2 linked regions of the Macaca fascicularis genome follow. The protein of the gene in region 2 binds, or shares a complex with, the protein of the main gene of each other region. Links are inferred from orthologs where the notes say so. Each region holds a gene or a part of one and is shown on either strand. Other genes may lie near its edges. The genes, in order: ASB7 and LZTS1.

What was found.
Region 1: the proteins of LZTS1 (region 2) and ASB7 are in contact, whole or in part, in a crystal structure (PDB 8Y1U), measured with the Homo sapiens proteins. The link is inferred for Macaca fascicularis from reciprocal best matches to the Homo sapiens genes LZTS1 and ASB7. Residues at the interface, in NP_001349813.1 of Homo sapiens: Arg346, Glu348, Leu349, Leu352, Met353, Glu355, Gln356, Leu358, Leu359, Glu360, Lys362, Leu363, Arg364, Ser365, Tyr366; in NP_937886.1 of Homo sapiens: Asn46, Trp48, Ala56, Ile79, Phe82, Tyr87, Met90, His91, Asp116, Trp118, Val123, His126, Tyr127, Ser147, Lys149, Thr151, Gln155, Leu156, Ile159, Arg160, Phe182, Arg185, Tyr186, Ile189, Lys190, Arg210, Leu220, Leu223.

What each region holds. Positions count from the first base shown.
Region 1 is NC_088381.1:85,656,128-85,660,464, forward strand, and holds the start of ASB7 (ankyrin repeat and SOCS box protein 7), read left to right. Parts: upstream 1-1,373; 5' UTR 1,374-1,814; intron 1,815-1,996; 5' UTR 1,997-2,095; intron 2,096-4,337. UniProt on the Homo sapiens protein: Probable substrate-recognition component of a SCF-like ECS (Elongin-Cullin-SOCS-box protein) E3 ubiquitin-protein ligase complex which mediates the ubiquitination and subsequent proteasomal degradation of target proteins.
Region 2 is NC_088382.1:23,355,124-23,359,512, forward strand, and holds the start of LZTS1 (leucine zipper putative tumor suppressor 1), read right to left. Parts: upstream 2,891-4,389; 5' UTR 2,666-2,890; intron 1-2,665. UniProt on the Homo sapiens protein: Involved in the regulation of cell growth. May stabilize the active CDC2-cyclin B1 complex and thereby contribute to the regulation of the cell cycle and the prevention of uncontrolled cell proliferation. May act as a tumor suppressor.

The sequences.
Region 1 (4,337 bases), on a different chromosome or scaffold from region 2:
AAGTAATTTATTGTCTACAGTTTTGGAGGCTGGGAAGTCTAAGACTGACGGACCACATCTGGTGTCAGGAGGCAGCGCTGCTAAGTATCACGTGGTCAGGGGGCTGAGCAGGCTCACGTGTTGTCAAGTCTCTCCTTAAAAAGCCACCAGTTCTACCTCCATGATAACCCATTAACCCATGAATAGATTAATCCACTCATGAAGACAGAACCCTCAAGATCCAACCACATCTTAAAGACTCTACCTCTCAGTACTGCCACATTGGGGATTAAATTTCAACATGAGTTATGGAGCGGACAGATATTCACACCATAGCACTACCTATCTAATATAGCCCATCACGTCCTGGTCAAAATCGATCCCACCATTCTGCTTGATTTTCCTCATATAACCCATCCCTATCTGATAATTTTGTGTATGTCTCCCCGAAATCACTATCTTGTTCACTGTTGTCTCCCCAAGGACTAGAACTGTGGCCAGTAAACACTTGCTAGATGAATATAAAGTGCTTAATAAACATGCCTTGATCAGTTTATCTCGCATTTTCTCCACGCCCCCTCTCCATTCATTCACAGGAACCCGCCAACGTTGCTATCCTTTCAGGAAAGTCCTTGGCCCGGCATCGCCATCCCAAAGACAGGCCCTTCTCCCACTCTAGGGGAGGCATTGGCAGCCTGGAAGCTACCGGGGTCTCAGGGACCAACAGCCGCGCCAAGACCGGGTACTTGCGTCTGAGAAGCGTTGAACAGGGGCGGAGAGACAGGGCACCCCTTTGTTTGCTTCCTGGAGCCTGCCGCCCTCCCAGCCTTAAGCCCTGAACCAGTCCCTCATTTGGCCGCACTCGTGCCTCCCCTGCTGCCAGCTCAGCGGCCGCTCCCGGTTACCTGCTTGGGATCTGGCTCAGGCGAACACTCTTCACACCGCCATTCGAGGGAACACAAATGCTCCCTCTGGGCCACCGTAGTTCACAGAAAGTACAAGCTGGCCCCTCCCGCCGCATGCGCAGAGCCCGCGTTCGGCGTATAGTGTCTCTTAGCAACGGCTTTGAGTCCCTCCGCCAGGGGCGGAGCCTCGGAAGCCACCACGGGGAAGCTGTAGGGGGAAGTGAGTGAGACCAATCGGAGACGAATCTCTGCTTCGTTCGGCACGCCTCCCTTAACTGTCGCGAATGCAGAGGCAACTTTACGGCAGGCAGAGGGTGGGGGCTGCTGGGGGTAAGGAGGAGAGAAGGAAGCAAGCAACCAACCAAGTCGCCCCCACTCCCCCCACCCCCACCCATCCCGGACCTGGTTTACGGCTCCAGGCTCAGGCTCCACTGCGGCCGCTGATTGGTTGCTGAAGGCTTGGTCCCATCCCAGTGACCCCAAAGTGCTGGAGGGAGGGGGCGGGGGTGGCCCAGTGCAAAGTGCATCTCGAAAGCCCCCTGTCCGGAGACCCCACGACTGGCACTTCGGGCCCCGTATGACCTGGGACCTCGCCGTCCCGAGACCTCCTGGGTCCTTCCGTAGCTGGAAGCCTCCGGCCCGGAGCGCGGCAGCCCCCTGCTCCGAGCCCTGGACCGGGACTGCCCCCCCACCCGAGCCGGGACTTCCTCCCTGCCTCCCTGCACCCCTGCCCCAAGGCTGCCCGGCGGCCGGGATCGCCACCTCCTGCCTGCTCGTCTGTTCGGATGCTCGCCGGGCTGGGGCCGTGAGGCACCGAGGAGGTTCAGGAACGCCAGGGTCCGGCCCTGCCTGGGGTATTTCTTCTATGGAGAAGTTGGTGAGTGTAGAGGAGGCTGAAAGGAGGAAGAGAAGCAGCAGCTGAGGAGACAGGTAAAGTCCTTTACCTCTCCCGAAGGGAAGAGGGCTGGCTGAGGAAGGAGGGAGGAAAATCTCTGCTTTTTCTTGCCTGCTCTTGCCACTCTCCAGCCCCTTTCCTGAGTTCCCCCTTCTTCAGAGCCCCCTCCTCCTCACCCCTGAGGCACTACACCACTCACTGGTTTCTGTTTTTCTAGGTTTGAGCTGGCTGAAGAGGACGCGAAAGCAGGAACGGGTCTGCCCACCTATCAGAGAAGCAGAAGGCACAGTGCCTCTGACCAGCATCGTCTATAAAGGTAATGAGCCAGCCCTCCCCTCCCCCACTGTTTATTCCTGGCCCCTACCTCATTAAGCAGTGGTTTATTTTCAGGGTGGTTGCCTGGGAATGCAACCTTTTCTAGCCCCCCCACCCCCAGTTTCCCAGGAAAAATAAAAACATTACCCGTGCCTGATCCTTAACATTTTATAACTTCTCTACTCAGGAACGTATTTTCCCACTTTCTCTCTGTACAGTGTGTTTCTGTGTTTTTCATTATCTTTTGGTACACTGTGCCATTTACTCTGCTCTGAGGCTTTGAGACCTTTTTGTAGCTACCCTCCCTTCCTTACTCTCATAGGAATTCCTCAATTCCTTGTTAATTGCTTGTTAATTCTGAACCACTTTCGTTTTTAATTAAACCACAATTTACTGTTTTCCCCCTTATTCTTTCCTATCACCTTTCTTCTACCAGCATCAGAAAAATCTTTTGAGTTATCGAACTGACATCGATTTGGTAGAGAAAGGTAAATTATTGGCCTGAGATTTATGAGTTTCAGAAAATAATTTGATTTTATTTCCTACTAGAAAGCCAACCTGTGTACCTTAAGAGTGTGAATGGTATGAAGGCAACATTATTACCCTGAAGCACTTAGGCGTAATTAACTCTTTGGGCTTTCTGTGTGTTTGTGTGTGACAAATGTGGATGGGCTTTGAAACTTATAAAGATACAAACAATGTTTGTTACACCTCAGATTTTCTAGAAGAGCTTTTAAAAATTTACACAATATCTTATTAATCATTTGACTCAGGATTTTAAAAACAAAGGAACCTTTTGGTGTGTTTACATATCTGGGTCTTAATTTTAGCACTCTATAAAAAAGATTTCTCTTTCTAAAACCTTTACATAGAGTTTGCTAGATTGAAATTTAGGCATCCAATTCATGTGATCACATTTCTTCTGCCATATTTTGTTGTTGCTTCTGAATATGCACTGAAAGTAAACTTAGGACATTAGTGTAATTCCTAAAAAGGGGATATAAGCATGAAAATTATACAAGGTTTAATTCCAAAATTAGCCAAATGAATGACTTTTCTAACGTCCAGTAGCAAAAGTATAAAGTGACTTGTTAATCTGAGTTATTTTAATATCCCAGATTGTTTAGGGAATTTTTGTTACAAGGAAGTACTTAAAATAGCAGAAGTTAATATTTTTGATTTCCTATGTTCCACTGGACTTTCTGCCTTCCACAAAAAGAAATTAGCATCTTTACTGATTCTGTTAATTCTCAAGACATAGCTAAAGACGTTTTTAAGGGGATCTGCGGTATACATATTCTTGAGACATGGAACTGCATGCTAAAAGAAGAGATTCTAGGGAATAGGATTTAGAATCAGTATCTACCAATGACTGTTCCCTGATGAATACTTAGGGCAGCTTTTGTATGTATATGTGGGGAATCAGGAGTACTTGACTATGTCATTTCAGTAAAAGCTAAGCAGAAATCTTTAAAGGCTAATTTTTATTATGTAAGTATGGAAGTTGCCAGGGAGATGGCCTAATGATTACTTCAGAACTTTTAAAAAATGCTAAAATATTTGAAGCATGTTTTAAAGATCAAAATGAAGTACTGTGTTTTGTATTCAAGCCTCTCAGTTAAATATTTTTTCAGCTTTAGATTTAACTCTAGGATGCTTTCATTTCTAAGAAGTAGTTTCACCTGAGATGGTAAGGGAGGGAGTCTGTGGCTATTCCAGTATATAAGGTAAGAGAGGAGAGGGCTTTACTCTGACTCTCAGCCAGTTCATTCTCATTGCTTAAATAGTATTGGATCATCTCATCTTTTAATGGTTTTTCTAAGATTAGGGAATATATATAAATTGTCAACATCTGTCATGTTTCTAATATCAGAATGATTGAGAGAGTTTTGTCTAGATTATACCAGACATTTAGAATATTTAATTTGGGTATTTATTTACCAACATGGCTAGTTAGGTAGCTTACATTTTTTAACCTGGCAGTTAGCTTTGTATTAATTCTATTGCCAATCATGTGGCTTTAAAAAAGTCCAATTTATTTGGTCACCAAATATAGATTTATAATCATGTAGTGCGAATAATTGATTTTAATTGAAGATATACAACGATGCATCTTTAGTATACTGTGGCCAGTACTTACATTCTTTACACATAAAGTGATGTCATTTACAATTATTTAATACTGTGACGCATACAATATTTCTTTAATTCGTTCATGTTTAGCTTTGGTGACACAGAGATAC
Region 2 (4,389 bases):
GGAGAATTGCTTGAACCCGACAGGTGGAGGTTGCAGTGAGCCAAGATCGCACCACTTCACTCCAGCCTGGGTGACTGAGCAAGAAATTGGGAGCCAGTTAAGTGGAGAAGGTAGAGAGACCAGGCAGGAATATTTTACGTAGAAGAAACAGTGTTCCTATGTTCAAAGGTAACAGAATAACATGGACAGAGCCAGGGTCCAGAACCTTACTAAGCTGATCTCAAATCCCTGCCCCTCGGTTTTGTAGCCTGGCTAAATTACCTAACTCTCCTCATCTGATAATTATACATACCCTGCAGGGCTGCAGTGAAAATTAAATGAGATAATGAATAAAAAGTCCCGGGCACACAGTGTATTTAGTGGTTGGTATTAAGTGTTACGCTATTATCCATTACACTAGTCTATAAGGTGCTTACCCATATAGGTTTGTCATCATTACATTATTCATCTTCCTAGCCTCACTGCCTAGCCCAGAGCCCTGCATTTGGTAGGCACCCAATGAATATTTATGAAATGAATGTTGAATAAGCGCAAGGCATATAAATAAGTTTTCAGGATTAGAAAGCCATTTATGTACGTCTGGAGCCCATGTATAGCTTTGCTATACACGCTGACCCACGGCTTCTCAAAACTGAATGGCACATCTTTCCCTCACACACTCCCAAAGCACTGGCTTTCCCCAGCACACCCCACACAGCAGCACTCCTTCTCTGATAGCACCCCTGTCCCACATCGACCCAGGCACACACAGTTGGGGGCACTTCCTGCAGACAAGCTGAATTGCTGAGACAGGTTTACTTCGTGAAACACACAGTCGCTGCTATAAATGTTAAATAACAACCATCTTCAGCACATCAAATGTCCCATCCTCCCTTTTGCTTGCATATAGACACCCACAGAGATGCCCTTTCTTTTTCTACTAGTTTTCTTCTCTTCTTAAGCAGATTGAGCGCCGCACACTCACATCCACCCAGCTGAGACCTCTTACTAGGACTCCCAGTTGCTCCCTCCCATTAGCTGTAGGACCTCAGGGAATGCCTTTCCCTTCTGATGCCTCCGCTTCTTCACTGGCAGGCACAGAGAGCCCACCGGGCCAACCTGGTAGTTATGTTGTGAGGATAAAGGAGATAACATATGAGATAACGTCTATGATGAGCAGAAAGCGCCTCCAAAGAAAAGCGCTGGATAAATACAAGGTGTAACGCCACGCCTGATTAGCCTGTATGCTCTCTGCCCGCAGACTCCTACCCACAGACTATGTTCCATTCCACTCTTAAACATAAACACCTTTCCCCTCTGTAAATGCTATCTCTAATACCCATATGCGCACACTCTTCAGACACCTCCATACTCCCTCTGGATGCCTGCTGAAAATTGTTTTTGAACTTAGAGAAAGCTCAGGTTACAAACACCCTCTTGCCCGCAGACTCTTCTCAGGGTCTTGGTGCAGGAACTGCCAAGCAGATAGCTCATCTCTTTGTGGCTGGGCTCCTGGGCTCCCAGCACTCCTATTAGGCTGCACTTCCAGCAGAGTGTGGGATCCTTATTAGGAGCAGCGCCTGCCCAGCACGGTCCAGAACTCAGTGCCTCCTTAGTAGTTTCCCAGCGCCCAGGACCAGAGAGCAGAGAGACTGACGGCAGCGGGACGGTGTGGAGGGAATAAGCCAGACAGGAAACGCTTTAGGAGGCCAGATCCCTAAGCACTTCTCATTCCTGGGAAATTGAGGACTGCGAAGCTAACAAGTCTGGAGCACTTTCCCAGGCCTGACATACTCGTGGGCGAGCACAACACTCATTTGCTCCACAGTTCAAACCTTTCCACTTGGAGCAGGAAAGAGAAACATCACCTGGCCCTTGGTGTCTCGGGGGTGCCTGTTGCTGCCGAGCTGCGACCTCTGAAGCCTCTCCAGCCAGAGCAAAGCCTGTAGCAGGGAGGAGGGGTGAGGTCTGGCTGCCTAGGGTGGCGGTGGAAGAAGTGAAGTTAGTGTGGTGCTCTGTGTGTGCGTGGTGCTTTGACTAAATTCCTGAATTGCACACCCAGGACCGACCCCAGGAACCTGTAGCCCCAGGGAACCACTTAGACACTCCGATATACCACCGTCCTCTCTAACCGTCTCCCCCCGTATGACTTATTCCTTGAGGTAAACCTTTGAAATATCTCGCTGCATCGCACCGATGTCCTCCCCACCGGTGTGGACACAGCTTATCCGCAAAGTTCCAGGCATCGAAGTTCAGCGGCCCGGCGCGACCGCCGGACCTTCTTCCTGCGGCCCCTGCTCCTGCGGCCTCGCGTCCCCACGTCCCACTTCTTCACCTCCGACACCAGTGTCACCTAACACTGACGTCCCCGCCAGGATCAGCATCGGGGCTGGAAATAGACGAGCCCCGTCTGCAGGAGACACGGAGACAAAGACAGGAGGACGGACGCACCTTCAGTCATCTCCTCCGGGCCGGGCCGGAGCAGCGGCGCCCACCCTGCAGAGGGGAGACCCTGACAGCTCCACGCGGAGACAAAGACACCTCGACAGCCACGGACACAGACAGACAAAGACGGACGGACGCGCGGACGCACGGACGGGCCAGCCCGGCACGGGGAGCTAGTTTTCCCTCAGCCAGGGCAGCAGACCCTCCAGGGGCGGGGAGACCCCCGGCCACCGCATCTTACCTGCCCCCTGCGCCTCGGGCGCACTTGAGATTTTTTTTTTTTTCCCAGTGTTTCCCGGTGTGTTCTCGTCTCTCTTTTTCCAGAGCTGCTGAGCGGGCCGGGCCGGTCCCACCGCGCGGGATGCAGCTCCCGGCTCCTACTCGCCGGCCGAGGCAGGCAGAGAAACTTTCGGCCTCCCCGCCCGGCCGCTGCCAACCCGCCAGCTCCAGGCGCGCCGGCCTCTGCGCGGGTCCCGGAGCCTGGGCGGGGCGGGGCGGGGAGGGGCGGGGCCGGCCCGGGGCGGGGCCAGCGCCGGCACCGCTGATTGGCAGCGAGCTGCCGGCAGCCGGTTTGTGCCGCTCGGCGGCCTTTGTTCCGGGCTGACAGCTGGGGCTGCCGGCGACCTCGCTGCTCCTTGGCGCCCGCGGCCTGCGCGGGGTCCCCGGTCCGGTCTCTCTGCTCTCACTTCCATCAGCCCCTTCGGGCGACCCTGCCCCCTCGGTCTTCCTTTCTTGCCTGGCCCCCTTTCTCCGATTGTTCCTGTCTTGCTCTTTACGCATCCTTTTTTCCCTTTCATTACCTGAAATTCTTACTCCAGTTTTTTTTTTTTAATCCATTCCGTCTCTCGTTCTCTGTATGTTCCCCATTCTTCATTACCCCTTCCTCTTACTCGCCAGTTTCTTTTTCCTAATACCGTCTCTCCCACTCCCGACTCGCACTAAAGGGCGTGTGTTTTGTTCAAGGACTGGACTAGCACCCAAGTGAGGGGCATTGCACACCACACCGGGATTACAGACTCGAGTCCAGAGCATCGAGACTCCCACTCCCAAAACATTGCAAAGGCAAACTTTTCCAACTCTGAGAGAGCTGAGTTTCAGGTGAAAGCAGAGGCCTGTTTCAAGTTTATAGCTGTTAATCTCACCCAGTGCCCTTCTAACACTATCATTTTCTCTGCCACCCTCGCTTTTAACTTGTAGCAATTGAGCCAGGAGAGGATACAAACTTACAGGGTTTTGTAGGACAAAGGGTCAGTTAACCGAAGTGCCAGGTGCTGCCTGAGGCTTGGGGACTTGAGGGTGCACTGAGGCTAATCCGCTAAAACCAGGCTTGATGGGAAGGTGGCAGCTCTGCCCAAGGAGTGTCAGCCTCACCTTGAAAAAAGCGTGTGTGGGGGGAGGTGGGAAAGGGATTAGATGTAATGGATTAGGATTGACATGACCAATCTCTGATTATAAATAGCATGGGGGCTGGATGAGGTGGCTCATGCCTGTAATCCCAGCACTTTGGGAGGCCCAGGCGGGTGGATCACTTCAGTCAGGAGTTCGAGACCAGCCTGGCCAACATGGTGAAACTCCGTCTCTACTAAAAAAGAAAATAATAATAATACAAAAATTAGCTGGGTGTGGTGGCGGGAGCCTGTAATCCCAGCTACTTGGGAGGCTGAGGCTTGGGAATTGCTTGAGCCTGGAAGGCAGAGGTTGCAGTGAGCCAAAGCGCCACTGAACTCCAGCCTGGGTGACAGAGTGAGACCTTGTCTCAAAATAAAATAAAATAAAATAAAATAATTAAATAGAATGGTGGGGGGTGGGGAGACAGCTCAAAGGAAAACAAGCCATCTGGTTTCTGTCACACCCCTGCTCCCTGCTCAAAACCCTGTAGGGGAACCTCACTGCCTTCGGGTCTTGACCCTGAAGACTCTGACCCTCGAATCTAGGCTTCCTGAAAGATGGCACAGCAAGGGGTTT